3 linked regions of the Stegostoma tigrinum genome follow. The protein of the gene in region 2 interacts with the protein of the main gene of each other region in a pairwise test. Links are inferred from orthologs where the notes say so. Each region holds a gene or a part of one and is shown on either strand. Other genes may lie near its edges.

Region 1 (11,143 bases), on a different chromosome or scaffold from region 2:
CAATATTTTTAGTTGAGGAGAGGAGTGGCTCGTGCTAAAAAGAACTTAAGCCTATGTTGTGACTCATTGAAGAGGTTAGAAAAATGGAAGCTGGTTCACCCCTACTCATTGTACCATCAAGGATTAAATTCTTGTACATGGATTCATGTCTCAAGACTCAAACTGACATTTCTTTTTTGCTTAATTTTGTAAAACACCTTTGTTTTGTCCAATCCTTCTTCTGTATTTCTGCGCTGCTTTTAACATCAGATGTTAGTGTTTCCTAAATGGTTGAATTGATTGACATGTTCCAACTTGCTTTCTTACTGTGCTGTTGCAAACTGGAATGTCTTCTTTGTCATGACAACAGTTTTCTTGCTTGAGTGTTAGCTTGTATATTCCAGTTTCTTTTATGACTGGATTGATTATTTTTTGAAAATCTTGTTTTTGTGAAAATAGCTGAAGACACCTGTATAGGAATGTAGGTAATGGGAACACGAATAGCCCATTCAGCATAGGGACTCCAATAAGCCTTCAACTGATCTTCTACTCAATTGATCTTTTACTGCACCATTGCATACCATTTAATATGTTTAACTTAGAGAACAATCAATCTCTTTATCAAATACACTCAATGACTTAGCCCACAAAACTCTCTGGCAGAGAGAATTACAAAGAAGCATCACCCTTTGAGTGGAGAGTTCTTTCCTTATCTCAGTCCTAAATGCTTATCTCTTGTTCTTAAACTGTCCTTTCTAGTTCCAGACAACACAGACAGGGGAAATTTCTTTCCTGTATTTACACTTCAAACTCTGTAGGAATTTTATATAATTTAATGAACCCTCATTCTTTTGAACTCTAGGGAATATAAGCTCAGTTTCCTCATCCAACCTTGGGAAAAGAGACCAAACCTACATACAATACTCAGTGTTTGGTATTAAAAAAAGCTCTATTCAATTTCAGCAAGACTTCTTCACTGCAGTTATCAAATCCTCTTGTAATGAAGGCTAACGTATCATCAACCTTCACAATTGGTTGCTGCAATTACATGTTAGCTTTCAATGAATTAAGAACAAGGTCTTCTAGACTCTGTTGGACATCAGCATTTCCAATATCCCTCCATGTAAGAAAGACTCTTCATTTCCATATGAACTCAGCTGACGGTAATACTGGAAAAGTCAGATCCCACAGCAAGACCTGGCTTGACAGACCATATGTTTTCTTTTTTCCCTTTTTGTTTACTGTGAAGTTCAGTGACTCAATACATTCAGAACAGACTGCCACACACTTGGCCCAAAAACGTATAACAGAAAAGAAAAACATGAATGATATTACACTATATAACAATTTGAAATTTAGTATAACGTTAGAACAAAGGTCTGAAACATTTTAGCCTACCGATAACTATATAGATACTTAAATCTCAGTGAAGCGTCACCCCTAAGCTCCATGTTGAAATTCGATGTTCAGCTGGCAATCAGTTTCCTTTTCTGCACATATTTGTGTGTTCACTTGATGCTAGTTTCTTCATTTACAAAAAGATAAATTATCTGGAATGAGGAAAGTCATCCATGAGAGAAAAGAACTTTTGTTTTAAGTTAAACTTGTCATGATCAACAGAGGCACAGGACTGAAAAGTTAAAACGGGCCAGTTCCTTTTTCCTAATCTGGGTTCACAGTGAATTGAGGTCTGGTTGTAACAATGACAGATTATAGCATTTACTCTATTATGTCAAAGTAACATGCCAATACTTGCCCATTTTGTCATCTGTTCTTTTTATGAGTTTCTTGGTCTTCTCTTGCTAAATCCTAAATTGCTCCAAATCCCCAGGCTTATTGCTTTGTTTGACAACTTTTTAAGAAACCTCTCTTGATCTAATATAATCTTTAACTTAACTAACATATGAAAGGAAATAACTTTTATATTGTAGTATACTTGTGAACCAATCAGCGCTCGCCGTTCATACAATACAGATGTTGATTCCCTTTATACTGGCATTTCTTGCAAACTGTCCTGATGAGTGTTAGACAAAATATTTGATGAAATGTCTTTCTTCAGCTATACTCTAGTTCTGTACCACCAAAAGATTATTGGTATACTCTGATGACAATTTCTCTTATGACTGATTTGTTCCCTTGTTTGTCTTCTCTTTCTAATTTAGTACATATTCTGTCACATGGTCCTTCATCCCCAATATTAGTTTAAAGCTCTCTATACCACTCTAATTATTATGAGTTGTGAGAACACCAGTCCTCACACAGTTCGGTTGAAGACTTTGCCAATATTCCTAGTACTAATGCTAGTGTCCCAGGAATCATAGCCTGTTTCTCCCATATCATTCTTTAAGCCACACATTTAAATGTCTAATCCTATTTACCATACCCAATTTGCACATGGCTAATACAGAGGTTATTGATTTTGAGGTTTTGATTTTTAATTTAGTCCTAATTCCTCCTACTTTCTCAACAGAAACTTGTTTTAGTTCTGCCTATGTCACTTGGTATCTTCTTTTGACAACAACATTTGCATCCTTCCCCTCTGCAAATCCCTCTCTAGTCCAGAGTTATCAAGAAACCTTAGCAAATGTGAAGTCAACTGGAATTGAGGAAAATTTTCCACTGGAATCATAGATAGCACAGTGATTGTTAAAGGTCAATCATCTCAGCCTTAAGGCATTGGTGCATGGGTTCCTTAGGGAAGTGTCCTATGCCCAACCATCTTTAGCACCTTCATCAATGGCTCTCCCTCTATCATCAAATCAGAAGGGGGATGTTGGTTGATTTCATCATATTCAGTGCCATTTAATATTAAAACAGTGCATGCTCATGTGCAGCAAGACGTACAACATCCTGCTTGGGCTGATAAGTGGCAAGTTAATGTTTGTGTTGTACAAGCTCAGGCAATGACATCACCAACAAATGAAAATCTAATCACTGCCCCTTGACATCCAATAGCATTACCATGACTTAATCTAATACTATCAACATCCTAAGGGTTAATATTGACCAGAAACTAAACTGGATCAGTCATACCTGCATCGTGGTTACATTAACAGGCCAGAGGCTAGGAATCCTGCAGCGAGTTACCCACCTCCTGTATCCCATTGCTGGTCCACCATCTCCAAGGCACAAATCAGGAGTGATTCTCTATTTCCGACAATGCTCAAGAAGCTTGACACCAGCCAAGTCAAAGCACCCCTCTTGATCAGAACCCCTTCCCTCTACCTAAACATTCACTTCCTTCAACACAAATGTACATTAACAGCAGTATGTACAATTTACAAGATGCACTCCAGAAACTCAACAATGCTCTCTTGACAGCTTTTTCCAAACTCAGAACCTCCAACACCTAGAAGATCAAGAGTAGTAAATACATAGGAACATTATCACTCATAAGATGCGCTCCAAGCCAAAAGACATCCTGATTTGGAAGTATATCATTGTTCCTTTACTGTCAGTAGGTCAAAATCATAGCACTTCCATTCAGCACTCTTAATGTACTTGCACCAGATGGACTTCAATGGTTCAAGATGACAGGTCACCATTGTCACCAACCTAACAAGGGAAATCAAGAAATGGTAAATAGGCTTTTGGAAGTCTGGAAGTGAGTTACTCATTGCAATGTTCCAAACCTCTAAACATTGTATTATTGTGGCAAGTCCAGATGAATTTCTAGTCAATGGTAACCTCAAGGATTTTGATCGTGGGGAATTCAGTGATAGTAGCATTATTGAATGTAATAGGGATGGTGATTGGATTGCCCCTTATTTGAGATGGTCATTGCCTGGTATTTGTGTGGTATGAATGTCACTGGCTAGTTGTCAGCTCATGCCTGGATATTCTCTAGATCTTGCTGCATTTGCACATGGACTGCTTCAGTATCTGAACAGTTGCTGAACATCTTGTAATCAACAGTGAACATCTCCACTTCTGATCTCATGACAGAAGGAAGTTGAAGCAGCTGGAGACGGTTAGGCTTAGGATACTACCCTGAGAAACGCCTGCAGAGCTGTCCTGGAGCTGCGATGATTCACCTCCAACAGCCACAACCGTCTTCCTATGTGCCAGGCATGACTCCAACAAAAGGAGAATTTGCCATCTGATACCCACTGATTCTGGTTTTGCTCAGGCTCCTTAATGCGGCCTGACTCAGTTGAATATGGCCTTGATGTCAAAGGCTGTCACTCTCATCTCAGCTCTTTTGTCCATATTTGAACCAAGGGTGTAATGAGGTAGGAGCTGTTTGGCCCTGATGGAATTCAAACTGGGCATCAATATGCAGGTTATTGTTGAGCAGGTGCTGCTTGATAGCACTGTTGATGACAGCTTCCATCACTTTACTGGTGATCAAGATTAGTTTGATTGTGCACTACTAACCCTGTGTATTAGATTAGATTCCCTACAGTGTGGGAACAGGCCTTTCGGCCCAACAAGTCCACACTGTCCCATGCCCCTGTGACCCACACACCCCTGAAACTACGGGCAATTCAGCATGGCCACTCCACCAAGCTTGCACATCTTTGGACGGTGGGAGGAAACCGGAGCACCTGGAGGAAACCCACGCAGACAATGTGCAAACTCCGCACAGACAGTCGCCCGAGGCTGGAATCGAACCCAGGTCCCTGGCACTGTGAGGCTGCAGTGCTAACCACTGAGCCACCGCCCATTGGCAGTGAAGAGACCATAAGTTGAAGGTGGAGGATGTGGGGCCAATCAGGTGAACTGCGTCTTGCTGGACGATGGTAAACCTCTTGAGCTCCATTTGTCCATTAAGTGGAGAGAATATTCCATCACACTTCTGACTTGTGCTTTAATGAATGGAGGGGAGAAAGGAGACGAGTTACTCACGTGGACCAGACAAGATGAATGGCCTCCAAGCTCTAACTTTAATAAAAAAAACACTAAGAACAGCAGTTAACAAGGCGTAGAGCTGGATAAACACAGCCGGCCAAGCAGCATCAGAGGAGCAGGAAAGCTGGAAAGAAAAGAAAGAAGGGTCAAGATCCAAAACGTCAGCTTTCCTGCTCCTCTGATGCTGCTTGGCCTGCTGTGTTCATCCAGCTCTACACCTTGTTATCTCAGATTCTCCAGCATCTGCAGTTCCTACTATCTCTAAGGTGCTGGATATATGGACCAAAGGGGCTGTTTTCGTGCTGTATGACTCCATATGAAACAAGATCAGAAATAACTAGAGAAACATAGGCCTGGCAGCTTTTTAAATTCATTCGTGGTACTTGGGGATTGCTGGCCAGTATTTATTGACCATCTTTATTTCTCTTGATGGTGAGCTGCTTTCTTCAACTGCTGCAGTCCATCTGTTGTAGGTCGACCCGCGGTGCCATTGGGGACGGAGTTCTAGTGGAGAGAAAACAAGAATTAACGTTTCGAGTCCAGCGACTCTTCACCAAAACGGACAAAAACTCGGCAGGTCGAACAGCTCCAGTGGAAAGAGAAAGCGGATTGACCGCCCAAAATGCAGCGACTCCAACAGACCTCAACATAATAAAATGTGAGGCTGGATGAACACAGCAGGCCCAGCAGCATCTCAGGAGCACAAAAGCTGACGTTTCGGGCCTAGACCCTTCATCACTCTACCCCGACCGGGGACTACGCTTCAGCCAGCTGTACTGCCACCGCCGTCCACAGAGGGCGCGTCGATATGGCCGGTCTTCCTTGTTGTGGAGCACGGGCCCTCCCATCTTGCATTGGCGATGATCGTTGGTAGACGGCGGGCGCAGCCTTACTGTTTCCCTTCTCGCCGCACGTGACCGCGCCGACGTCACCGGCGACAACATGGCGGCAGCGCCCAAGGTAAGTTGTCTGTGTTTCGTCGGTTTATGGGTAGCTCCGAGGCCACTTCATTAAAACCCGCCTTGTAACCGACAGTTCTTTGTCTTCAACACCGTTCTGGGGTTTTTTTTTTGGGGAGGTGGTGCTGTCTCCACTTCTTTTGGTTAGTGAGTGTTTGTGGTTTTCTTTTAAATTAATGTTTGGACTTTAAAGATGAGAGGAGGTTGGGCTGTGTTGACAACTTGTCAGTTGGGAAAGTGCCACGAGTGCGGCACCTGCTGCTGGCCTGACTGCAGCTTAAAGCTGGCTGGCTGGCACTCACTCCTAACTCTGGTCCCGACCCGAAACGTCACCTTTGCTGCTCGGCCTTCTGTGTTCATCTATCTCTGCGCCTTGTTATCGCAGATTCTCCAGCATCTGCAATTTCTACTATCTCTGACTCGTTTACTACCATCGTTCTCAGTGCTTCTTCTGCACCGACAGTGGGAACTGTTTGCCCCTCTGATGGAGGAATGAAGCTGGAGCTTCATCATTTGAGAGGAGCTCACCACTGTGACCGTGCATTCTCTTGTCAGTGATCATTCACTTTCTAGAATGTTTTGTTGGTATCTCTAGTTATATCGAAAATGTAGGTTTTGCATTGGTAAGTTAAAGAGAAAGCACAAGTTATTTGGGTAAGATGAAGTACGGTGGGATCGTAGTTTAAGAGCATAGAACAGTACAGGCCCTTTGGCCCATGATGTTGTGCTGACCTGTTATCCTACTAAGATCAAACTACGCTGCCTACCCTACATTTTACTATCCTCCGTGTGCCTATCTAGGAGTCGCTTAAAAGTCTCTAAAGTATTTGACTCCGCTACCGCTGCCAGCACTGCATTCTACATGCCCACCACACTCTGTGTAAAGAACCTACCTCTGACATCTCCTCTGTACCTTCCTTCACTTGCCTTAAAATAATGCACCCTTGTGATAGTCATTTCCACCCTGGGAAAAAGTCTCTGATGACTCATTCTATCCATGCCTCTCAAGATCTTCTAAACCTCTTTCTAGTCACCTCCCAGCCTTCTACGCTGCAGTGAAAAAACCCTAGCTCCCTTAGTGATATTATCACTGGACTATTAATCCAGAGACTCACATAATGTTCTGGGGACCTGGATTAGAATCCTGCATGGCAGTTGGTGGAATTTGAATTCAATAAATGTCTGGAATTAGAAGTCTAATGATGACCGTGAATTCATTGTCGATTGTCGGAAAAACCTATCTGGCTCACTAATGTCCTGTAGAGAAGGAAACTGCCATCCTTACCTGATTTGGTCTACATGTGCCTCCAGACCCACAGCAACGTGGTTGACTCTTAATTGCCCTCTGGGCAATTAGGGATGGACAATAAATGTTGCCTAGCCACCGTGCCCTCATCCCGTGAATGGATAAAGTATATAGGACTACAAGGTCTGAGAAAGGGAAGGAGAGACCCACTGTCTGGTAAATAGGTTGAATCAAGGGTATAGCTAAAATATTCAAATGGTAAACTTCTCAGAAGGTATTAGCTATTAAAATCTGCTTTGAAAATTAGTAAGAACTATAACCAGCAAAGCAGAATGACTATATTTGTTTTTGCTACAGGATGACAGTCACAAGAAATTGTTTGGAAGAAACTTGAGAATTGACTTGCCCTATATATAAATATGAGAGTGACATGAATGATGTGAAACAGGAAACTTTTTTTTTGTGCGGTGACCTGCAGTCACATAACTATGGTACAATTCTATCAAACTGTTTTTAATGATATCTACGTTATGTGGTTAGATTGGAGGACTCAAACTGTTACTTGTTGTCTACAATGAGCCCTGAAATCTGACAATCTGGTCAATGAAGATCACAATAATTTCATTTACCAAGTTAGATTATCCTGCTCATTTAACTGATGGATTGATGGAAAACTTTGCATATGTATCACATTAGCTTGTTTGTATTGTTTACATTTGTGGACATGATTAGTTTTAAACTGTTTCCTAATTGATAAATTCTAAAAGAGAGCAGTAAAATGTGTTAAGTTTAGAGATGTTAAGGTTTTAGTATGTTATTGGAAGTTTTATATATGCTGCCATATAGTCCTTGGTATGCACCATACAAGCTAAAATACAGCAAACTTGGTCTTGCCCGAATTCTGCTGCCTGTGCCACTTCTCTTCCTACCACTAATCTACCACACTGGATCTCCCCTTAGATGCTCTTTCTGTACTTGGACCTCCCTTAGTTCTGATTTGTATCATTCTCTACTTTCTCTCCTCACTGCCTTGTGCCTTCTCAAAACTCTGTTGTTTCTTTTAAATTTTTGTCGGTCACAAATTTTTGTGTACTTCCTTTAAAATTTTGGCAAAACAATGCACCATGTTATTTATCATGGAGCTTTGTTTGCATATTAACGTCAAATTTGCTGAGTGACGAAACATCCACACAGCCTAGCAGGAATTTTACACCAGATCGGTCTTCTGATACTTGAATCGTATTCCTGCTAACTTATCAACCAACTACATTCACATCTTGACTCCTGCCTTAGTTAATATTAATGGTTCTCTGTCTTCAGGTATTACTCTCCTTTCACTCCTTTCCTTAAACCCAAACATTGACCTCTGTCTTACAGGCTACCATCCCATCTTCAACCATTTATCTCTTTCCAAACCCTTCAACATGTTGTCTGTAAAATCCTAGTGACTTTACAGAATCCAGAATCATTTCAGTTGGATTCTGCCCAGTCATAACCCTGAAGTGGCTCTTATTGGAGTCGCGATTAACTGTGACAAAGGTGAATAATCCCTCCTTGTCCATTTTAACGTGTTCGCAGCCTTTGATACAGTCGCTTCTCCAACATCTCCATTGCTGTCTGGCTGTTTGGGACTGCAGTTACCTGATCCCATTCATATTGATGCCCCTGGTGTCCTTTGCTCCCCACTATTTCACATCTATGTGCTACATCTCGAAGACTGAATTATCTTCTTCTCAGTCTGCAAATACACTGCTTCTTCACTAACTTGAACTGTGGGCTGACAACTGTCTGGCCCTGATGGAAATCATTCTAGGGTCTTAAAAGAAGTGAGGTAGATGATACATTGGATGTAATTTTGTGGTATTCCTTGATTTGAAGAAAGCCCCCAATATGTTGGAAGCTAGTTAATGAAAATCCTTTTTTTAAAACAAAAAGGTCAAGTGGAAAACAACAAGACAGATGGCATAACAGTTGAGATTGGGAAATGTTAGAAGTTGTTCTTAAAGTATTTGAATAACTTAAGTCACAGTCAACTTCTGTGAGGATAAGTCAGGTTTGAACTGTTGGAATCTTTTGCGGAGGTAACACAGGCTGTGAATGAAGGGGAATTGGTGGTTATATTGTCCTTAGCTTTGCAGAACACATTAAATAAACTGCCAAAACAAAGGTTATTGTAGAAAATAAATGTTCATGGTGGAGAAAGTAACATATTGGCATGGCTAGAAGATTTGCTGGCTAAGATGGAGCGGAGAGTAGGAATAAATGAGTCTTTTTGAGTTGGCAAAAAGTAACGGGTGATTTTTCTCAGGGTTTGGTGCTGGAATCTTAACTGCTTGCAATTTACATAAACAGAATGGATGATGGGACAGAAGGTGTGTCTGCTAAATTTTGCTGATATTGCAAAGATAGGTGGAAAGTAAGTCATGAGCAGACCGTAAGGATGGGCTGCAAAGTGATATAGATAGATTGAGTGGGTAAAGATCTGGCAAATGGAATATAATGTGGTAAAATGTGCAATTGCCCATTTGACAAAAGGAAGTGCATTATCTAAATGGTGAGAGATTGTAGAGCTCTGAGTTGCAGATCCATCTGAATGTCCTTGTGCACGGATCACAAAAGGTTAGTAGGCAGGCACAGAAGTGATCAGGAAAACTAATCAAATGTTATCATCTATCACAAGGGGAATTGGTTACGAAAGTTTATCACTAAGTTGTAAAAGGCATTGATGAGACCCCATCTGGAGTACTGTCCACAGCATTGATTTCTTTATTTGGGGAAGGATGCAAAAGTGTTGGAATCAATTCAAGTAAAGTTTCCTGTACTGTAACCTGGAATGATTGGGTTATCGTAAGAGGAAAAGTTGATCAAACTAGTCTTTTCTCTAGTGCAGTTTGGAAGCGTAAGGCGTGATGACTGAAACATATGCAGTCCTGTGGGGTCTTGACGGAGTAGATTTGGAGAGGTGTTTCCACTTACTGGGGCAATCTAGAACGAGGAGTCACTAAAAAAAAATCAGGGGTCACCCATTTAAAATAGAAGACTTTTTTTTCCTGCGGGACGCAAGACTTTGGACCTCTCTTCCCAAAAATGGACCTACATTCTATCCTCCCAAGAACATTCTGGGCTAAACTATTGGTTTGATTTTTGTTGTATTTAATCCTAAAACGAGCTATGAATTACCTTTTATATGCCATCACTAAGATTGCCTAGTTCAACCATCGTATCAACACTGTCTCACCTTGTAGAGTCAGAGAGTTATACAGCATAGAAACCCTTTGGTCCTTCTTGTGAATGAATGAACGATAATTTACCGTCACTTGTACTCTACAATGAGCAACACAGGAAAATACAGTGAAAAGCTATGACTATTACCGCAACCTGGTACCATTCAAATACTTCAGGAATAAAAATATAAAACTGAAAGTGAGTCGCAATTTCGCTGCACCGCCTCCATCATGAGTCCTGAGATGTGAGTTGGCCAATCAATGATACCCAAGTTGGATCCACCCACAAAGGAGCCACCAACCTAAAGGCGCCAACTGTTGTTGCTGGGTCACATGCTGGACCTAAACTCGCCCCACAACCAGGAGACCCTAGATTGCTGCTGCTGCTGTCTTGCCGACGACCAGGAGAACCCAGCTCCGGGCCTACCACAACGAGGAGCTGCTGCCGCCATAGCACTGTCCCTGTTCCGGGGGGTACCACAACCAGGTGTTCCTGGCTCCACCACTGCCACCGTTTCGCTGATGCCTGAAGTCCCCACTCTGGGTCCATTGCAACTCTGCTGTTGCAGCTACCTTGCCATTACCTGGAGTCCCCAGTCCAGGCTTACCACAGTCTGGAGTCCCGAGCTCTGCTGCCCAGGCCAGGCTGCCGCATTGCCAAGACTCGCGCTCCGTCTGCTCCTGTCTGTGATGTCCCTATTCTGCTGCTAACAAGAAGAAGGGGAAAAAAAAGACAGAGGGTAAGGGAAGAAGGGAGGAAATACCTGCCTGGAGTGGACAGGCTCTGGAGCCTGAACGCTGCCTGCTTTGCCAGGACTGCCACCTTAAGCATTTACCCACATTGACGTGATATCACAAATCGTAGGATCCCTACGGTGTAGAAA
Region 2 (11,194 bases):
TTGTCCTGCTGCCTTCAAGAATCCATGCACATGCACATCGAGGTTCCTCTGTACTTCACAGTCCTACCATTCAGTATTTATTCCCTTGCTTTGTTATTTCTTCCAAAATAGATGACCTCACACTTTTCAGGATTAAGTCACATTTGACACCATTTAATCCATCTGACCAGCTCAGCTATATCTGAATGACTTCACGTCCTTCTTGAAAAGTGGTATTCAAAACTTCTAAAAACTAGCGAGTTTTGAGAAGATTTGTAGCTCAGGTTGAGGTTCTGGATGTGAACTTGCTCGCTGAGCTGGAAGGTTAGTTTTCAGACGTTTCGTCACCATTCTAGGTAACATCATCAGTGAGCCTCCAACGAAGCGCTGGTGTTATGTCCCGCTTTCTATTTATCTGGTTAGGTTTCCTTGGACACTACATTGGACAAACTGGCAGGAAGCTAGCCACCAGGACACATGAACATCAACTAGCCACAAAACGACATGACCCACTATCACTCGTATCCTTACATACAAATAAGGAAGGACACCACTTTGATTGGGACAACACATCCATCCTAGGACAAGCCAAACAGAGACATGCACGAGAATTCCTAGAAGCATGGCATTCCAACCGGAATTCCATCAACAAACACATTGGCTCCAAATCAATCTACAGTCCCCTGAGAAAAAGAACAGGAAATGACATCACCAATCCAAGGAAACCTAACCAGATAAATAGAAAGCGGGACATAACACCAGCGCTTCGTCGGAGGCTCACTGATGATGTTACCTAGAATGGTGACGAAACGTCTGAAAACTAACCTTCCAGCTCAGCGAGCAAACTCACATCCAGAACTTCTAAAAACTCTCCAGCTGAGGGTAAACGAATACCTTGTACACATTTAACACATCTTTATCTTTGCATTCTGAGCTCTTAGTTATAACAAGAATCCTGGATTCATTATTAACTGTGCTCCATCCTGTCATCTTCAATGTTCTGAGCACAGAAACTCTAGGTCCTAGGACTTCTTGCATCCATGCAATTTTGAGGTAAAACACAATAGCACAGAATATAAAACTACAGGCCTGGTGATGGAAAATGGGATTAGAACAGATAAATAGCCTGAGGGTTAATGCAACTACAATAGGCCAAGGGGCCTTTTTGCATGTTGTAAAAAATTCAACAAGTCCATGGCCATCCTCCTCAGGAGCCTCCGCCACAGCCAACATCTAGGACTTACCAACCGACTCCACTCCTCCTCCACCCACCACCTCCACAGCCAGCAGATCCAGAGGAGACAATAGCACCCAGCCCTGCCAGGTCTTCACCAACCCCTAGACCTCCCCTTTAATGAGGGCAAACGGTCAGTCCTCGGTAAAGAGCTCATCTTTATCCCCTCCACCAGAATCGAATACTGCTCACACTTGGTCGTTGAACAGTTTTTCCATCACCTCCGTGCTTACTTCTTTAATCGTGAGCCTCACCCTCTTCTACTGACCCCTTCCCCTGCCTCCAACACACCCCCTCTTCCTGGATATCACCCCAAGGCCTCCTATCCTCCCTCAACCTCTTCGTCTCCAACTCCTGTCGAGACATCAATCGCCTCAACCTCTCCATCTCTCTCACCCTGTCCAACCTCTCCCCGACAGAATGCACAGCCCTCCACTCCAATCCCAACCCCACCATAAAACCCACAAACAAGAGAGGCGCAGTTGTAGTATGGCGCACTGATCGCTACATCGCCGAGGCCAGACACCAGCTCTCTGACACCTCCTCCTACCGCCACCTTGATCATGACCCCACCCCCCGACTACCAAAACACCATCTCCCAAACCATCCACAACCTTATCACTTCAGGTGACCTCCCACCCACAGCCTCCAACCTCATTATTCCCCAACCCCGCAGCGCCCATTTCTATCTCCTTCCTAAAATCCACAAACCTGACTGCCCTGGTCAATCATTGTCTTCTCCTGCTCCTGCCCCACCAAACTTATCTCAACTCTATTTTCTATCCTGTGGTCCAGAAACACCCCACCTATGTCCTTGACACCACCCATGCCCTCAACCTCCTCCAAAACTTCCAATTCCCCAGTCTCCAACACCTCATTTTAACATGGGCGTACAGTCCCTATACACTTGCATTCCCCATGCAGATGGCCTAAAGGCTCTCTGCTTCTTTCCCTCCCACAGGCCCAACTAGTCCCCCTCCACTGACACCCTCATCCACTTAGCTGAATTCATCGTCAACAACTTCTTTTTCAATTCCTCCCACTTCCTACAGACAAAGGGGGTGGCCATGGGTACCTGCCTCTTTGTAGGTTACATGGAACAATCCCTCTTCCATAGCTACACTGGCCCTAAGCCCCACTACTTCCTCCGTTACATTGATGACTGTATTAGTGCTGCTTCATGCTCCCACGGAGGAGCTCGAACAGTTCATCGATTTGACCAACACCTTCCACCCCAACCTTAAGTTCACCTGGGCCATCTCTCCCTCCTTCCTGGACCTCTCTGTTTCCCTCTCTGGCAAACACCTGGCAACAGATATCCATTTCAAGTGCACCGACTCCCACAGCTACCTGGAATACACCTCCTCCCACCCACCTTCCAGCAAAAATGCCATTTCCTATTCCCAATTCTTTTGCGTCCACCACATCTGCTCTGAGAATGAGGCATACTACTCCCGAACATCTCAGATGTCCTCATTTTTCAAGGACCGCAACTTTGCACCCCGCCCCAACCAATGGTTGAGAACACCCTTGGCTATGTCTCCCACATTTCCCGCAACGCATCCCTCACATTCCCCCACACCCCACCCCACAACAACAACCAAAACAGAATCCCCCTCGTCCTCATGTATCTCCTCCAACCTCTGGATCCAAAGTATCATTGTCCGACACTTCCGCCATCTGCAAGCTGACCCCACCACCAAAGACATTTTTCCATGCCCACCCTTATCTGCCTTCTGGAGGGACCACTCTCCCCGTGACTCACTTGTCCATGCCACACACCCCTCCAGCGCCACCACACCCAGTATTTTTCTCTGCAACCGCAGGAAGTGCTACAACTCCCCCCTCACTTCCATCCCAGGCCTCAAGAAGACTTTCCACATGCATGTTCACCTGCACATCTGCTAATGTGGTATACTGTATCTGCTGTTCCAGATGAGGCCTCCTCTGCATCGGGGAAACCAAGCAGAGGTCTGGGGACTGCTTTGCAGAACACCTACACTTGGTCCACAATAAACAACTGCACCTCCCAGTCGTGAACCATTTTAACACCCCCTCCCACTCCTTAGATATATCCATCCTGGGCCTCCTGCAGTGCCACAACAATGCTACCCAAATGTTGCAGGAACAGCACCTCATATTTCACTTAGGAACCCTGCAGCCCAATAGTATCAATGTGGGCTTCACAAGCTTCAAAATCTCCTCTCTACCTATGGCATACCAAAACCAGCCCAGCTTGTCTCCACCTCCCTAATCAGTCCTTTCTCCCACCTATCCTGGGACACTACTCGTCCCACCTCAAGCCCCAACCCCATCTCCTACGTACTAACTTCATCCCACCTCCTTGAACAGTCCGTCCTCCCTGGACTGACCTATGTTCTGGGTGTGAGTTTGCTCGCTGAGCTGGAAGATTAGTTTTCAGACGTTTCGTCACCATTCTAAGTAACATCATCAGTGAGCCTCCGACGAAGCCTATGTTCTCCCTAACTCGCCACCTCCAATCACCTTTACTGGCTCCATCCCCGAATCCCTGACTTGTCTGTTTCCTTGCCCACCTATTTTCTCCTCCATCCATCTTCTCTCCGCCTCCCCCTCTCTCCCTATTTATTTCAGAATCCCCTTCTTCTCCTCCCCTTCTGGAGGAGGATCTAGGCCCGAAACGTCAGCTTTCCTGCTCTTCCGCTGCTGCTCGGCCTGCTGTGTTCATCCATCTCTACACGTTGTTATCCCCTCAGTAAGTATTTACTAAGGTTCTTTAGGCAGTAGCATCCACACCAACGACTACCATCGATCCCCTCTCCCCTAGCCCCATACCCGTTTTCCTCGTACCCACTGCCGTCTCATCAGGTCCTGCCCCGTCTCTCCCCGCCTCCCACAGGCCACGCCCCCAACATCCCCCCCCCCCTACCCAAACCCCAGCAGATACGACGCCCACCCTCCACCCGAGCCCCAATTCTCCCGTGGGCCCAGACGCACCGATCAGCCGCCGCGTCTCCTCCACGCTCAGGTAGACGTTGACCCCGGGGCCGCCTCGACACACGGTGTCCGAGCAGCAGCTCCACAGCACCAGCAAGGCCCGCCAGAAGTTCATGGATGCGCCCCGGCCAGCAGCGGCGGTGGTACCCGCCATTGCTGAGCGGCGTTTTCCTGATTCTGTGTTCGTTACGGGCTGTTACACGCGCCGGGGATCGACCAACCGCCTCTCCGTTCCTCCATGGCCGCGTCCAACACGGCGCGCATGCGCCAGGGCCGGATCCGTTTACTGAGCATGCGCACTCGCTGGCCCTGGCAGGCAGTTGGCATGTTGGTTCGTCCCTGGTTTGATAGGTTGTCTCTGAACAAAAGATGTCTGTGCAGGTAGGAACCACCAAAGTACTGGTTTGAAGGGATTTTCCCCAAATAACAGCGGGTAGGGGAAAGGCGTGAAGCGTGAAGTCAGACATGCGTGCAATAAGGGTTAAATTTGTTCGGGTAATTTTACATCTCCAATACCTAACTTACAAACCTGCCAGAAGAAAAGTATTGAAGCCTGAGCATTGGGAACGTTTTATACTTCATCAAAATGAGAACAGAGAGGTCGACAGCACAGAATATGACAATAACGCTACAAGGAAAATAAAATGAGTAAAATTGCGGATGATGTGAAAGTTTCTTTTAATGTGTGAAGAACCAACAGATTCGTAAAGACAAACATAGGTCCTCAGAAGGCAGCAGCTGGTCAAATTACAGTAGAGCAGAAAGAAATATAAGAATTGAACTTGTACTTCAAGTCTGTTTTCATGGAAGGAGGCATAAATAACTTCCTAGAAATGTTAGGGGATCAGGGTCTAGCGAGAGGATAGAATTGAAGTATATCGTTATTAGAAAGACAATGATGCTGGGGAAGTGAATGGTGTTAAAGGGTGACAAATCACCATGGCCCAATGATCTATCATTCACTGACTCCATCTATACATCTACCAAAAACCCCAACCACCCATTTAAACTCTCTTGCACTATCTTCTGTTGGGCAGGAGATATTGAAATTTGAATAAGCATATAAACAGATTCAAGTACAACTTGTTCCTGCTGTTATCAGATTTTTGATGGTCCCCTCAAGTGTTGATTCTGAGCTCATTCTCTCTCCACCTCCTCTGTGGTTGTAATACTGTCTTCTGCAATCTGTCTGCCTTCCAGGTGCACTTTCTATGGTATGGACTGCAAAAGAGCATTTTTCACTGTATCTTGATACATGTGACAACAATACATTGAATAATAAACTCCAGAATACAAAAGGAAGTGGCCCTGGAAACATTAGATGCATGCTGGTTAGCTTTCAAATTCTATAGATTTTGGAACAGTCCCTACAGATTGAAGAGTGGTAAATGTCGCCACTGCAAAAATGGATGGAGAGAAAACACAGGGAATTATAGACCAGGGAGCCCGACATCAGTAGTGGGCAACACACTATGGTCCATTATCAAAGATTTTAAAGCAGAACATTTAGAAAACAATAATTGATCAGACACAGTCAGCATGGATTTACAAAAAGGAAATTGTGCTTCGCAAATCTAAAAAAATTTCTCCAGGATACAACTAGTAGAATGGATAAAGGACAGACTGTGCATGTGGTGGTTTTGGATTTTTTGGAAGGCTTTTGATAAGGACCAATGTAAGAGATTAAAGGGGAAAATCAAAGCACATGAGATTGGGAGTATTGGGGACAGGAATACACAAGGATAACAGAGATAGCAAGTCAAAATAAATCAGCCCTATAATCACTGGATATGCAATAGAGTGAAATTAAAATATTCAGTGACCCTCAAAATACCCAATTGTTCCTAAACAGACTTTGTGAAGATCAGATCTAGGACACCAAGATTGTAACTTAAAAATTAACAGTTTATAATTAGTACTGTAACTTTTTACAGAACAATACTAAACAACAATGTAATCTAATGAATATCCATGATTTAAACACAACTTTTTTTGTTTATAATCAACAGTCTCACACCACCTGGCAGACTGACAGACAGAATTAACAGATAAATTGAAAAGAAAGCAAAAATTATAATTTTCCACTTCAGTTTGAAATCTCACAACACCAGGATATAGCCCAACAGGTTTATTTGAAAACGTGCTTTTTGAGCCTCACTCCTCCTTTAGGTGTTAGTAAAAGAGGTAGTATTACACACAGAATTTATAAGTAAAAGATCAAAGTGTCTGACCTTGTCCACTCCAGTCCAACACTAGCATCTCCACATCACCACTTCAGTTAACCAGTTTCAAACAATAGACATCAAGCCTTCATGCAATCCCTGGACAAGGAGTTATTCACGGGTGTGTGACTACAGGTCTAATTTCAAGATAATTGGTTAATATTAGCAGTTTCAGTAGACTTCCTAATTGTTTACTTTTTTCCTCGCAGACTGTGATTCTTTTGTCTGAATATTCAACAATTCTTTAGATTAGATTCCCTACAGTGTGGAAACAGACCCTTCGTCCCAACAAGTCCACACTGCCTCTTGGCGCATCCCACCCAGACCCCAACCCCTGATAACCCACACACTCTGAACACTATGGGCAACTTAGCATGGCCAATCCACCTAGCCTGCACATCTTTGGACTGTGGGAGGAAACTGGAGCACCTGGAGAAAACCCACGCGGACATGGGGAGAATGTACGAACTCCGCACAGACAGTTGCCCAAGGCTGGGATTGAAACCAGGTCCCTGGCGCTGAGAGGCTACAGTGCTAACCACTGTGCCGCCCCAATTTAACTGGATGCAGAATAGTACAGAAGCTTCCAAAATCACTCTGCACCTCACAAAACCAAACAGAACTAGTTTTCTTTTTTTCCTTTTTGGATCAATTATCTCTTTGGGTGCTGATTAGATTCGGTTCTCTTTTGATTGACCAATTCAACATCTGACTAGCTGCCAGCCCTCGGCATAGCAATGCTTGCTGCCAAATCATCTACAGTATTCCTTACATCCACAATTAGAGTCATAGAGCTGTACAGCACAGAAACAGACCCTGCTGTCCAACTCGTCTATGCTGAAAAGATATTTTAAATAAATCTAGGCCCATTTGCCCACGTTTGGCCCATATTGTCGAAACACTTCCTGTTCATGCACCCACACAGATGCCTTTTAAATGTTTTAATTCTACCAGCCTCCGCCATTTCCTCTGGAAGCTCATTCCAGACATCACGACCTTCTGCATGAAAAAGTTGTCCCTCAGGTCCCTTTTAAATATTTCCCCTCTCACCTTAAACCTATGCCCTCTAGTTTTGGATTCTTCTCCCTGGGGAAAAAGCCTGGTCTATTTATTCTATCCATGCCCCTCATGACTTTATAAACCTCTGTAACGCCATCCCTCAGCCTCTGACACTGCAGAGAAAATAGCATAAGCCTATTCAGCTTCTCCCTGTCGCTCAAATCCTTTAAAAACAAAGTTGTTGGAAAAACTCAGCAGGTCTGGCAGCATCAATGAAGGAAAGAAACAGAGTTAACAGTTCGGGTCAATGGACACGAAACGTTAACCCTGTTTTTTCCTTCACAGGTGCTGCCTGACCTGCTGAGCTTTTCCAGCAACTTTGTTTTTGTTCCTGATTTGCAGCATCCACAGTTTTATTTTTGGTTCTCAAACCCTTCAACCCTGGCAACATCCTTGTAATTCTGTCTGAACCTTTGCAAGTTTCAGAACATTTTTCCGAAAGCAGGGAGACCAAAATTGCGCTCAGTTTTCCAAAAGTGGCCTAACCAATGTCCTGTACAGCTGCAACAGGACTTACCAACTCCTTTACTCAATGCACTAACCAATGAATGAAAGCATATCAAACTTCTTCTTCACTATGCTATCAATCTGTGATTGCACTTTCAAGGAACTATGAACCCACACTCCGAGGTTTCTTTGTTCAGCAACACTCCCCAGGACCTACACATTAAGTGCATAAGTTATGCCCTGATTTGCCTTTCCAAAATGCACCACCTTACATTAATCTAAATTAAACTCCATCTGCCAATTGTTGGCACATTGGTCCATCTGATCGACCAGGTCAGTTGTCAACAGCAAACACATACGTTTGTTTTTTTTTTCACTAAAACTCACAACAGTTGAAAGTTTAAGAAATCCAAATCTCAGTTCATGTGTGCGCCAAAAAAGAGAAAAATAAAAGAAAAATCACGCAGGTCTCTACAGTAACATCGAGGCATGGATTGAAATTTGATTGACGGGAAACATAGACTGGGAATAAATGGGCCTTTTTCCGAATGGAAGACTAGTGAGGTACAATAATAGTCAGTACTTGAGCCCCAGCTATTAACTTCATATGAAAATGACCTAGATGGGGCTGACAACGCAAAACTGGGCAGGGTTATGAGATAGCTTAAGGTGATTTAGACAAGTTGTGAGACTGTGCAAACACATGGCAGATCCTGGACAACATGGCTAAAAGTTGTACACTTGGGTGTGAGAAACCAAAGGCCGTGTATTATTTAATCAGTGATGTATTGGGAAATAGCGATGAATGAAGAGTGTCCTTATCCACCAATCAATGAAAGTTTTTACGCTGTTACAGCAAGAATTAAGAGTTCAAAGTGTGCATTGGCCTTCATTACAAGAGGATTTGAGTTCAGATGTACTAATGTCTTTGTGCAGTTTTACAGGGCTTTGGTGAGACTGCTCCTGCATGCAGCTTTGGTTTCCTTATCTAAGAAAATATATACTTACCGCAGAGGTAGTGCAGCAGAGGTTCACTAGGCTGATAACAGAGATGGCAGGGCTGTCTTATGAGGAGAGACTGGGCCTGTATTCACTGGTGTTCAGAAGGATGAGGGGGATCTGATTGAAATGTATCAAATTCTAACAGGGCTGAACAAACTAGATGTGGGGGTTGGGGCAGAGAAATTGTTCCCTGATTGGGGAATCTAGAATAGTCACTGTCTCCAGACATGAGAGAGACCATTTACGACTGAGACAGTTACTCAGAGGGTAATGAACCTGGAGAAGTCTGTCTCACAGAAGACTGTGAAGGCCAAGTCACTTGAATATATCCAAGAAAGAGATAGATAAGTGTTTAAACATTAAAGGTCTCAAGGGATATGGGGAGAGAGCTGGATTATAATCCAGAATTTACCCCGCGCAATCTCTCAGAAATAACTTTAATCCCCTCAGCTGGCTAGACACTGTTTACTGTCTCACCCCTGAGAGTGGCCATTGTTATGGCAGTGCTGAATCTGATGTGGACAGAGGCCAGCCCCCTACATAGCTCTGATGAGTAGAGATCTGAGGGGCTGGGCACATGTTTCTAACTAATTTCAATACCACCTTGTAACTCCTGTGGCCCGGCTGAAACCATCTTTCACATTCCCATTACAGCTGCTTTTTCATGATTTTGAGGGAATGCTCCTCAATCTCAGATCCATTCTCCAGATGTGTAATGAAGGATCTTCTCTTGGGACTGCTTTTAGAGAGGCCAATGTAGTCGTACAATGGTCCAGGATGGATGCAGCTTAAAGGGACTGTCGCTGTTTGTTTGCCATTCAACAGCAGCATTTGCATCAAATTCTGTATTAGTCGCTCACAGTATCAATAGTGCCCAAAGCAATGTAGTTGACCTCTAAATGCCCTTTAGGAATGAGCAATAAATGCTGGCCTAGCCAGCAACAGCCTCATCCTGTGAATGAATTAATAAAAGGAAGCATTCTTAGATCAGTGGCCACTGCAAGGATTGAAGTATATCATGGATACTGCAGACAATGATCCTAGAACTTTCTGAACTTTGTTTCAACCTTCGATTGGTTACAGCCCTATGTAAGTGCATTTTGTTAGGTTTGCTATTTGACAACACGGGGGTAACTATTTGTCTACTCTTACCAATAAAACCACAAAATACTGAGGATGCTGGAAACCTGAAGCAAGCACAGACAATGCTGGAGAAACTCACCTGGTCTGGCAACATTTTGGAGAAAGAAACAGGAATCAATGTTTTGAATCTAGTATGACTCAGAAACTGGAGGGTGAGTGGTCTGCTGATTGAGGAATGGGAGGAAGGGGCTGAGGAGCGGAGAGGGCAGAGGAGGGGTGGGCAGAGATTGGACAGGGTTTGTGGGTGGTATGGGCAGAGAATTGGTGGGTCTGGTGGTCGGGCGCAAAACGGAAGCAGCCCATGTACAGCCACATCCATAATGTGCACGTGTGTTCTCATGTGAATCTGGTGTCAGCAACTTGCAGCATTTTTTAATTCCAAATTCAGTGTTGTTGATTTTATATTGAAATATTTTTGGCAATGAATGCAACCGTTCTACAACACATCCTCTGTGAATATATAAGGGTTGTTACTTTGGTAACTGCAAGCCCTGACCTGCAAGTTGGATGAGGTAAGAGAGCAGGAAGCAAAGTGTGAGTTTATTTCAGTGAAAATGAATTGATGTTCATGTGTTTGGCTCCAGCATGCCTGTGACAATATGGGCAGTGCCATTGTTTTTCCAGGCCGCTGCCACTTTACCATTTTGTTGTGATATTACATTGCAGGGCTACATTTGTGCACATGTACTGTTGCTGTACCACCCAGCATTGATAATAACATGGTCTTGTAATAAATGATCAGAAAACAGTGTAAAATTAAGTAGCTTATTCTCAGATTGGCAGGCTGTGACTAGTTGGCACAACAAGGATCCTTGCTGAGACCTGACCTGTTCCTATGATGCGTAATCATATTGTTGGCTTTTACTTTCAGCAGGATACTTGCACTTGATGAAGGAATACTGGTGCAGGCACGATGAGCTGAATGACTTCCTTTTGCACTGTGCTGATTTGGTGATAATGTTAATTTCTCTAGCATAAGAACTAGACACAGATAATGCAGTATTGTGTGATTCAAAATGATCTCCTAGCATATTTCTACATCATAATCACAGACACAGGCACTCCAGCACCTTGTTAACATTAAGTTGTTTAGCTATAAACAGCAGCACACCTCCATCAGTTAAAATGGAGT
Region 3 (11,127 bases), on a different chromosome or scaffold from region 2:
CTGAGTTTCAGTAATATGGAAGACAAGACTACACATCTGCAATGTTCATCTCCAGACAGCAGTGGTGAATTTCAGCACTGCAGCCTGAACGACAGACTAGAATGACATGCTCCAGACATTGTCATTATTTTCTACCTTTCCCTTTCTCCCATCCATGGAATGCAGCCATTCCATCCACGATTTTCAGTGATTCAACATACCACAACCCCCCACAATAACAACTATGCCAAAGTTTTCTTCAAATGAAGCAAATCACTGGCATACATGAGGCGTGCTGTAATGACTCCATGTGCTATGCTGCTGACGCATGTAGAGCAAAGTCATGGGTTCAGTCCTCACTCTGTACTGAGTTAGCACTTATCAACATGAGTGGCAATGCTGAATACAGGTGGGGAACTAGGCGAATCCTCTGGGCTTTCAACTTCCATATCTCCAGGCTACCCTGTGGAGTTTATTTACACTTTCTCCCTGTGTCTGTGTGGGTTTCCTCCAGGTGCTCCGGTTTCCACTCACAGTCCAAAGATGTGCAGGTTAGGTGGGTTGGCTGTGCTAAATGCCCCATAATGTCCAGGGATCTGTAGGATGGATTTGTCATGGGAAATGCAGGGTTAGGGTAGGAGAGTGTGTCTGGGTGGGAAGCTCTTCAGAGGGTTAGTGTAGACTCAATGAGCCAAATAGTCTGTTTCCACACTGTAGCGATTCTATGAAGTGTCTGCTGTGGAGTGTAGCACAGATACACCAGAATTATACTGGGGTTTAGAAGAATAGATTACAAAGATGGAGTGCACAAACTTGGTTTGTGGTCGCTTGAATTTAATAGGTTGAAGTTAATAAGTTTAACCTAATTGTAAGGACATAAAGTTTGAAAAGGATTCAACAAAGTATGAAGGAAAGAATTCCTCTGATGGAAATCAAGAGCAAAGGGCCATGATCTTACTTTAGAGTCAACACAGCGTAGACTGGAGGAACACAGCAGGCCAGACAGCATCAGAGGGGCAGGAAAGTTGACATTTCAGTTTGGGACCCTTCTTCGGAAATGGGGAGGGGGAAGGAAGCTGGGAAATAAATAGAAAGGAGGGGTGGGGCTGGGGAAGGTTGGTGGGATGGTGATAGGAGATGGCAGGTAGGGAGTGGTGGGGATTGGTCAGTGGGAAGTGAAGGGCGGATATGTGGGAGAGAAAAATGGATAGTTTCCTGCTCTGATGCTGCCTGGCCGACTGTGTTCCTCCAGCTCCACATGGTGTTATCTCCGACTCTAGCATTGCAGTTCTTACTAGCCTTGATGCGCACATCAGCCTTGATCCAACAGTCAACAGGTTTGATGGGCTGAGTGGCCTCCTCTTAATCCAATATAATTCAAACTTTGGTATCATCTCTCTTCTATTTTTGACCCTATGTTGAAAGGAAATTAGAAAAGGTACTAAATTTAACATGTTAAAACACAGTCATCGGGTAAGTCGGAGAACTGATGGTTCCTACTGGACGGGCAAAGTCAGTCAGTCATGAGTGAAACATTTAAAAGATGCCTTCACAGACCAATGCTGTTTATTCAATGGACTGTGTTGTTTCAGTGCGGATTTCAAATAAAAGCCTTTTAAACAAAAACAGTGGAGAGGGTCACAAACTATCAAGCAGTCTTAGGAATGGATTAGGGTGAAGTAACTGCAGAAACTGGGTAAACATTTCCAACATTAAACATCCACAAAAGATGAATAAACCTTTATACACAGCATGCTGTAGTACTGTGCAGGTTCAAGTTTGTTTGCAAAAACTCTGCTTTCCTCTTATTTGCAATGACCTATTTCTCCAAGATGCAGCATTTAACTGTAGTCTGGGGTCAGTGCATCCTGTCTGAAACTGCATGATAGGGTAAAGGTGACCTTGCACACGAGGAGGGGGTGCACAGGAGCAGATATACAGTTTCCCAAAATGTACATGCCCAGTGTGAAAGAAAGTGCATTTTTCCAGCTTAAGAGCCACATCCTTTATGGGAAAATGTGTTTAACAAACAATAGACTTGCCAAGCACTTAGACACAATGAAGGAAATTGGAGTCTAGTCAACACTGCAAATTGTGAAAATCCAGCTTGCATGTCATGCAGCACTTCAGTGTAGCCAGATTTAAACAGCTTATCAGTGGTGATTCACTGAATCAATAAAAAGTCACCCTGATGCTCAATATCCCACAGTTTGTGTAACTCTCTGAATTCACCCTTTTAGATTACTCCCTGACAGAACCTGACCTGCCAATAATTTGCATCACCAAGTCAGGATGTTCTCCTCAGACGCAACTCAATTGAGAAAAGTAGCATCTACACTTCACTGGGTATTTTCAAATGGACTTCTAACAGAAATTGCACGCACCCATGTTGCTGAAGCACCCACAAATAATAAAAGAAAAATACAAGCTGGCAGTGTGGCTGTGTGAAATTTTCACCTGTCCCACCATTGTTGCTGTCCCAGTAATAACTTGGACTGTTGCAGTCTCAAGTCAAAATGATGCACAGCTGCTTCCACAACACAACACGCACTGCCGCTTGAAGACTGAGGTAGACAGGGGCATTCCCCTGCAAGCGCCAAAACATGAACACCTGCTCCCCGCAGTGAGGGCACAAAGGTGTGTGACAAATCAGCACCAACTTAGCATTTGTCCCATCAGTCAGGTAACAACCATTGTCAAATTATTTTAATAAGGATCAGTTTGCCTGAAATGCGCAGATTACTTATCTGAGCGTTATGCGAACAACATTAGATCTAAAGACCTTAAGTGATAACCAACTTTCTATAAGGAAGCACATGCTCACTTGGGACAAGCATCTTGATAAAACGATGCCTGGGGAAATAAACTCTACGCTTAACTCCTTGCATGACACGTTGGCAACTTGCAAAATACCTTTCACAAAATCGATTTGTTCGTTTAAAATTCCCTTTCTTAGTCTTAAACATTAGAGGAAAACGGGGCGAAAATTGAGCGTAATTTGTCATTCCCCTGAATGAATGACAAAAAAAAAATGAAGTCTGTCGTGTCAAAGCAACAAAGCATCAGATAACATCACTAGCCTCCAGTTCTACTTCAGGACAATCAGCTGTCTTATATCAAGCGGGCACACACCTCTGATCTGGTTGTGTGTGATGGATACACCCCGTTACAATGCTGGGTTTGACCTTTGTGAGTTTTAGCTGGGCACAGAGTTCTCAAGAACTCATTCCAACGTGTGTCATTTAACCAAACATTCCCACAAATGTCATGAAAACATTACCTGTGACAAGTCAAGACTGATTTTGGAAATCATGAAATATGGCACCTAGATCTAAGGACGCACACTGTAAACGAGCGTAAAAGGACAAGTGAACTGCAGAGTGGACAGTGCGAATCAGATTTAAATGGACAAGGCCATCACACTGAAAGAGAAGTAAACGGTTTACCTTCACGTGACTGGGTGGTGATAACGAATCCGTGCGGGTTCCTTGTTTGAAGGTGCCTCCAGCCAGTACCATAGCCCTGCAATCCTCACACGCCCCAACTATCAGCTGCTCACCATCATCCACCACGAGAGTCTCGGCCACTCGAGGGGTATGTAGGAAGACAGGGAGTCGGTTTACCGTGATGGCTTTCAGGCCGAGGTGACGCTTTCTCTCCTGCCTGCAGAAGAAGCAGACAAAGGTGTCCACTTTGTACTGCCGGGACCAGGGGCTGCTGGGATGCTGAGTGTTCTTCCCCCTCCACCACTGCTCTAGGAGGTCATGGTAACACAGGACGCAGGCTGACGCTGGGCTGGTCGAATCTACAGGCCGGACGGTGGCCGTGCGCGGGCGGCTTGCCAGGAACGGAAAGAAGGGCTCACGCTGGCTGTGGCGGCCAGGGGGGTCGACGTTCAACTGGAACTCGCGGCCCGGCTCCAGCTCCGCGCCACACAATAGGCAGACCGTGACCCGGGCCGCCCTGAACACCTGCCCGGTCGCCGGGTTCGGGCGAGGGCCACCGGCGGCGCCGCTCATCCGCAGGTACCGCGTGAGGAAGGCCTGGGCGGACGAGATCAGCTCCTCCCGTCCAGTAGCGGTGTAGGCCCCCCATGTGTCCTTCAACACCGCATAGCAATCGTCACAGCATCGGACCTCCCCGCACTCACTCATCTCCGGGCCGTTCGGGGGACGGGGCAGGAGGCGAATGAACGGAAAGTACATGGGGCCGTCCCGAGCACTGCCACCACCACCACCATTGTCGATGCTCCTCGAACGCACAGCCTTGGCGTCTCTGCTACAGTCCTGGCCGCACAGGTAGCACTCCTGGCCTGGGGTCTCCCTACCGCCACTGGGCTCCCTCTCACCCGGGGGGCTCGTCAGTGCCGTGCCCAGGACTCCGGTGTTCAAGGGCACCATGTACAGCCTCTGCAGTACGGGCACGTTGGCCATCTCAAAGCCCCTCCACTGCTGCATGAGCGATGCGTGGCAGAATGTGCACACCAGGGTGCTGCCCCCGGGGCTCAGGGGGCAAGCCCCGGGCGGGGGTCGGTGGAGCCACAGGAAGGGGAAGAAGGGCCTCCGGCAGGGCCCGCCCTCCTGCTTGTGGACGTGGACCTGGTGCCCAGCGTCCGGGGGCAGGCCGGCACCACACACGAAGCAGGCCGGGCCCCCACCCTTGGCGACCACCCCGCCCCCTCGCTCCCGGGGTCCAGGCGGGTGGGACTCGTCCCCGGAGGAGTCTCCCGCGCCCGGGGGTGCCCGGCGGGCCGGGGTCTCGCTCGGTGGAGAGCGGTGGTCGGCGGTCGGCGAGAGGGGTCGGCCGGCCCGGGGGGAAGGGGCGAGGGAAGAGCCCCGGCGGTGAGTGGGAGCGGGGGTCTCCAGCTCCTGGTCAGTCAGGTCCTGGTCAGACAAGGAGGAGACAGAGGAGTCGAGCGCCTCCTTGCTGCCGTGCCCCACGCTGCAGGCTTCGGGCTCGTAGCTGGGGTTCCACTCCTGGGGCACGGTGCGGCTGTCGCACTGGTGCGGTCTCTTGAGCCAGTACATGCGCTTGTCGACCGGGGTGCGGGTCCTCTCGAAGGATTCCCACTGCTCGCCCAGGAAGCAGCGGCAGACGGAGCAGACCTGTACCCAGCCCTCAGCGCTTACCCCCCGGGCTCCGGGAGCTGGCTCCTGCTGCAGCAGGAACGGGAAATAAGGCGAGCCTCGGCAGCCCCCTGCCCGCACTTGGAGCCGCTGCTCCCGCCCGGGGCTCATACAACCGCCGCAGATGAAGCAGTGCAAGCGGGCGGTGCCGTTCGCCGAGCCGGCGCCGGGGCTCTCCTCCCCGGACTCGAAAGCTGCCATCAGCCGGTGTTTCCTGGAGCGCGGAGCAGCCGCTTCTTTGTCACTCATCATTCGCGCTGGGGGGAGGGAAAGCTGGAGGTGTCTGTAAATCCCCCCCCCCCCCCCCCCTTTAAACACCACCACCCACAGCCCACTCTGCACTCAGCTTCAAGGCGGACTCAGAGCTGTGTGTGTCTGTCTGTCTGACTGACTGTGCTGTCCCCCTCACACAATCTGCTACTAAACTTTGCCCAGCTCCAGGCAGCTAGACAGCGCCATCTCCTAGCGAGCCATCTTCACGGCCCCACAATGCAACTCCTACTCACTTACTCACACACACACACACACACACACAAAAACTTCCAGACCCCACACTTACTTCAAACTTCACACATCCACACCCCCAGGGGAACACACACACACACACACACACACACACACAGAGTATAGCCAGGAGCCTTGCTATCATTCTTCCCAAGAAGATGCAACCACGTCTGTGCCCTGCAGTCAGGTTCAATGGAGAACATTCAAGAAGGTTTTTGATCATTATCTCAGTAGAAACAATGTGCAGGGTTACACGGGGCTGGGCACCGCAAGGCACTCCATTAAAATTCTCACCCAAAAGGTAAAGCAGTAAAACCACCAAATGATGTTCTGAGGAAGTGTAGCCGGACCCAAAATGTTAACTTTTTTTTCCCCTTCACAGATGCTGCCAGACCTGCTGAGCTTTTCCAGCAACTTTGTTTTTGCTCCAAGTGATGTACACTGGTGCAACTTAGTCATAGAGATGTACAGCAAGGAAACAGACCCTTCGGTCCAACCCATCTATGCCAACTGGATATCCTAAATAAATTTAGTCCTATTTGCCAGCTTTTGGCCCATACCTCTCTAAACCCGAGATAACAAAGTGTGAAGCTGGATGAACACAGCAGGCCAAGCAGCATTTCAGGAGCACAAAAGGTGATGTTTCAGGCCTAGACCCTCTCTAAACCCTTCCTGTTCATATACCCATCCAGATGCCTTTTAAATGTTGTCGTTGTACCAGCTTCCACCACTTCCTCTGGCAGCTGAATCCATACATGCACCACCCTCTGTGTGAAAAAGTTGCCCCTTAGGACCTTTTTAAATCTTTCCCTTCTCACGTTAAACCTATGCCCTCTAGTTTTGGACTCCCCCATCCCAGGGAAAAAGGCCTTGGCTATTCACTCTATCCATGCCCCTTATGATTTTATAAACTTCTACAAGTTCGCCTCAGTACAGTGCTCCAGCACCTGCACTTCCAACTTTTTTATTACAAAAAAAGTGTAATTGCTGGATAAACTCAGCAGGTCTGACAGCATCTGTGGGCTGAAAGCACAGTTAACATTTCTGGCCCGGTGACTTTTCGTCAGTTTTTCACTGTATCCATGATCTGGGCTATGCAGACATGATGGATCGAGTGGCCTTCTTCTGCACTCTAACAACTTTCCATTTCACTTGACAGCACCTTAAATGAAAACAATGATATATTTCTCACTTCCCCTCAATAACATCCACATGTGATTGGCCACTAACTCATAAAGAATCCAGAAAGTCCCCATTGCTCCTTTGAGTTAAACTTTCAGCCCTGCCACCTCAAACTCACCCATAAGCATCACACTGTTGTTTACCTTCAGATTACTTGATAACCTGCATCCTTTTCACTCCTCATCCTCCGTAAAGATACAATATATAAACATATATAGACTGGTTATACTCGGCAGAGCCAACAGAGCCTTAGACCTTTTTTCATGAAGGGTCTAGGCCTGAAACACCAGCTTTTGTACTCCTGTCTTCATCCAGCTCCACACTTTGTTATGATAGCCATGTCTAACCCATTTCCCACACTTCTGCCCTCTTCTCTCCCACAACAACAATAGGGTTCTCCTTCTCCTCATTTTCCACCCACCAGCATCCACATCCAAATGATTATAAACTCCCATTTGCACCACCCTCCAGTGAGATGCCACCACCCAATACATATTCCCCTCCTTCTGTTGTTGGCTTTCCACAAGGATTGTTCCATCTGGGACACCCTGGTCCACTCCTCCTCCACTCCCAACACCTCCCTATAATCTCTGAAGGTGTAACATCTGACCATTTACCCCCTCCCACCTCACTATCCGAAGCCCCAGGCACATCTTCCAAGTGAAGCAGTGATTTACTTGTACTTCACTCAATCTAGTCTACTGTATTCGCCGCTCACAATGTGGTCTCCTCTACACTAGGAACACAAAACAAAGACTGGGTGACCACATTGCAGAACACCTATGTTCTATCGGTAAAAATGCCCCTGAGCTTCTGGTTGCCTGCCACTTCAACACATCACTGTGTTCCCTGACCCACGTCTCTGTCTTGGGCTTGCTGCAGCGCTTCAGTGACAGTCAGCCCATGCTGGAAAAAACAGCATTCCATTTTCGGCTTGGGGAGCCTGCAGCCTTCAGGACTCAATATTGAGTTGGATAGTCTCAGAGCATGAACATCTCATTCACTACCCCATCCCATTGCCAACACATTTCAACTAGACTCCATTATGAGCTACCTTGTATTATGTCATGGAGACAGGCAACCAAATCAGATCAGCATTCCTAACTGTGTATTTGCAACATGGTAAATTAAAATGACCCTCAAAATCGATCGCAGTGGTCCCTAACTAAATAACCTGAACCAGACTTAGTCAATAATCAATACAAGACGCCCTGTTTGTAGCTTAAACAAAATATACAATAACTTCTTAATAATACAGTAGCTTTAGCAGAGCAAAGTGAAACAGTAAGATAACCTAATTAATATCTATGATTTATACCCAATAACTTTTGTTTTCAGCTCCATTCACACAAAAAAACAGTAAAAACAAACATAATTAAGGAAAACCAAAAGATGTAAATCAGAAACAAAAACAAAAGTTGCTTGAAAAGCTCAGGAGGTCTGGCAGCACCTGTGAAGAGAAATTAGAGTTAACGTTTCTGGTCTTGTGACCTTTCCTCAGAACATAAAGAAAGAATAAATCAAAAGGAAAGGAAAAATAATAAAACTGGCCAGATGATTTCAGCAGTTTGCTTTGCTTCCCAGGTACACAGGTTTGTCTCAATTTGTTTTTTGATGGAGCTCATTGCCACCTTTTCCAGCTCATGCTAAGTAAGTTTCAATAACACTAATATCTTTGTTTCTATTCTCTGAACTGCTGATAGTTGATAACGGGAGTTTAGGCGGGGAGCTTTCAAATCTTCATGCAACAGTGTCAAAAGCCAAACTGCCTGTCTCAGAAATCCCCAGTTCAACACAGTTCACAAAAAAACTCTAGTACCTCCCTCTGTTTCATCATCATGTTCTCTCCCAGACTTGTTGGCACCAGTTCCCAGATACTGACCTCATTAGTGGCCTAACATCTGCTATCTGGTTAAGCTAAAGGTTTCACCAGAGTCAAAATATCTTGCAACAAGAAACAACCTGCAATTAACTTTCAGATCTGGCCTCACAAAGAAATAACATTTAGTTTTTTTTGGAAATACACACTGCTGCTCACAGTCCAATGATCACTTTCAGCTCTCAGCAGACAGTTCACAGTCCAAACCAAAAATGATAATGAAAATAAAATTAAGAAAAATTAGCAAGTGTTCCAAGGCTACCTTTTCTTCTTTCCTGATTTACTACCAACAATCTCTTTGTCTGCTTTCCCTTTTCTTTCTTTCTCTGGGCTCTGGCTCCACCTATCCACTCACCCCTTTCCTCACCAACCCCCACTCTTCTCCTTTACACAGCTGCTATTAGTTAGGAAGAAGGGTCACTGGATTTGAAACATTAGCTGTTTTCTCTCAACAGATGCAGACCTGCTGTATTTCTCCAGCAATTTCTGTTCCTGTTCATTTCAGAGCAGTCAGGATGTCTGTTCAAGGAGTTTTTGGGTTAAAGAAAGTGTCGCTACTGGCATTAAAACACTTATCCCTCTGAAAATCTTCAACAAAATTGCCTGAAATTGAAATCCCTGTGCCCAGATGCTGCTTCAGAAATTTCCCTCCCCACCACCCATGCATTTTGATTGTTAAATTGTGGAGTGGATTGCAAAATGCAATTTAAGCAGAAAAATTGAATTGATTATGCTTTTCCACTTACCTTCCTGTTGGATATGCAAATAATTTTATCAGTATAAACAAAGCTCCAACAAGCCTTCACTTTTTGACTGGGCTCCTTGCTTAGTTTATTCCAGTGCCCAGACGTGCGATTTATTAAGCACAACATTGAGAATTGAGTGTCAGGTATTCATTAGTTAATCCAACCTAAGTTCCCTAAAATAGCTGGACTTTGGATAACCTGCATTTCAACAACAGACCTACATATAAATGATGATTTAACTTGCATTTAAATATCACCTTCTACACCTGCAAGGCAGAATTGATTATTTCTGACATGTAGTAATGTTTTTAGGGAACCTGACAGCTGATTTGCTCCCATAATAATATTCTACAAACAGCAATGAGATTAGATGTACAGGTTTGACTATATTGGCAAGAGTACAAATGTTAGCCAGGACAACATAGGGAATCTTTACTGTTCCTTTTAAAAGTGACACAAGGTATTAAATGTTCACAAAATTGTCAAGTCTTAATCCTGTAGCTTTGGTTTTGAAAGAGGCAGTTTTATGCCCATTTGAATTGAACAGATCAACCTAAAAAGCAACACGCCCGCCTCCTTGGTGCCATTACAAAGTGATAATCTAAATGACATGCTCAGGTTCCAGGTATGAAGCTTTCACCAGAAAATTCTGAATTCAACACAAGGCCAAGCTGCCAACACAGATAAATAAAGTTACGAATGCAATTGGTGTTTGTGATTGGGAAGGAAAGTTGATAATTTGAGCTATCCACGAAAAGGAATGAACAAATAAATGAATGAATGAATGAATGAATGATTTTGTTGTCACATGTATTTGGGAAAATAAAGTGAAAAGTGTTTTGTCATTACAGACTGGTGCCATTTGGGATTACAAAATGAATAAAAAGATATTACTTAAATAGAGCTTCATCTTCTGTTCAATTGACAAAAAAGGAAGAAAAGTAAGAAATAATGTTCAACATTACAGTTCTTCTTGTCAAGCGTATCTCTGGGTTTCTGTAAGGTGTTCCAGTCCCCAAGCCACAACGAGGCCCCTTTCCGGGTCTTGCTGATGCCCCAGGAGTACCCAGTTCTGCTGCCGTCACCCCGCCAACATCGCTAGAGGTTACTGATCTGGGCCAGCCACGCAGCCAAAGCTGCAGCTGCCATCTCCCTGACATCTCTCTACTCTGGGTCCACTGTAACCATGAACCACCACTACAGCCCCATCTCGCTGCCTTCACCATGCATCCCACTCCAGCCTCCTCCACAATGACGCATCCTCTGCTGCTGACAAGAAGACGATAAAGAAGGAGAAAAAGAAAGCATAATGAAAAGGAAAGAGAAAGAAGGATGCAGCTAACAGGGAGTAGACAGGCTCAGGAGACCAAACATTACCTACCTTACCCACGTGGCCATCTGTTCAGAGTGATACACATTATATGTATTTAAGGACAAATGTGAAACAGGATAACATGTTCAGGAATGGCCAACTCAACAAAGGGGACAAATCACAACAAAAAAAAACAAATTTAATGGGAGGCTGAGGAAGTTAGCAGAGTTAAGGATTACAGCTGGAGATATTAATATGGTTCTGAGAAAGGCAGCTTTGTTACTGAATAGTTACAAGGCAGGAGAGGCCAATGTAACCAATTTTGTTTGCATGGGCTATCCTAATGAGCAATTCATTTCCTGCCATTCTCCTGATTTCTCCCAGAAACCTTGCACACTA

Evidence for each region. The genes of interacting proteins can lie anywhere in the genome.
Region 1: the proteins of cep63 (region 2) and tbc1d15 interact in binary tests that used the Homo sapiens proteins (3 or more experiments, as listed by UniProt). The two-hybrid records come from large-scale screens. The link is inferred for Stegostoma tigrinum from reciprocal best matches to the Homo sapiens genes CEP63 and TBC1D15.
Region 3: the proteins of cep63 (region 2) and gse1b interact in a two-hybrid assay, tested with the Homo sapiens proteins (2 studies listed by BioGRID and IntAct). The link is inferred for Stegostoma tigrinum from reciprocal best matches to the Homo sapiens genes CEP63 and GSE1.

What each region holds. Positions count from the first base shown.
Region 1 is NC_081371.1:44,263,368-44,274,510, reverse strand, and holds the start of tbc1d15 (TBC1 domain family member 15), read left to right. Parts: upstream 1-5,701; 5' UTR 5,702-5,772; coding exon 5,773-5,790; intron 5,791-11,143. UniProt on the Homo sapiens protein: Acts as a GTPase activating protein for RAB7A. Does not act on RAB4, RAB5 or RAB6.
Region 2 is NC_081367.1:1,143,551-1,154,744, forward strand, and holds the start of cep63 (centrosomal protein of 63 kDa), read left to right. Parts: upstream 1-4,385; 5' UTR 4,386-4,570; intron 4,571-11,194. Other genes in the region: tyrosine-protein kinase RYK, read right to left, coding at 4,190-4,343. UniProt on the Homo sapiens protein: Required for normal spindle assembly.
Region 3 is NC_081369.1:53,027,309-53,038,435, forward strand, and holds the start of gse1b (genetic suppressor element 1), read right to left. Parts: upstream 5,443-11,127; 5' UTR 5,358-5,442; coding exon 3,426-5,357; intron 1-3,425.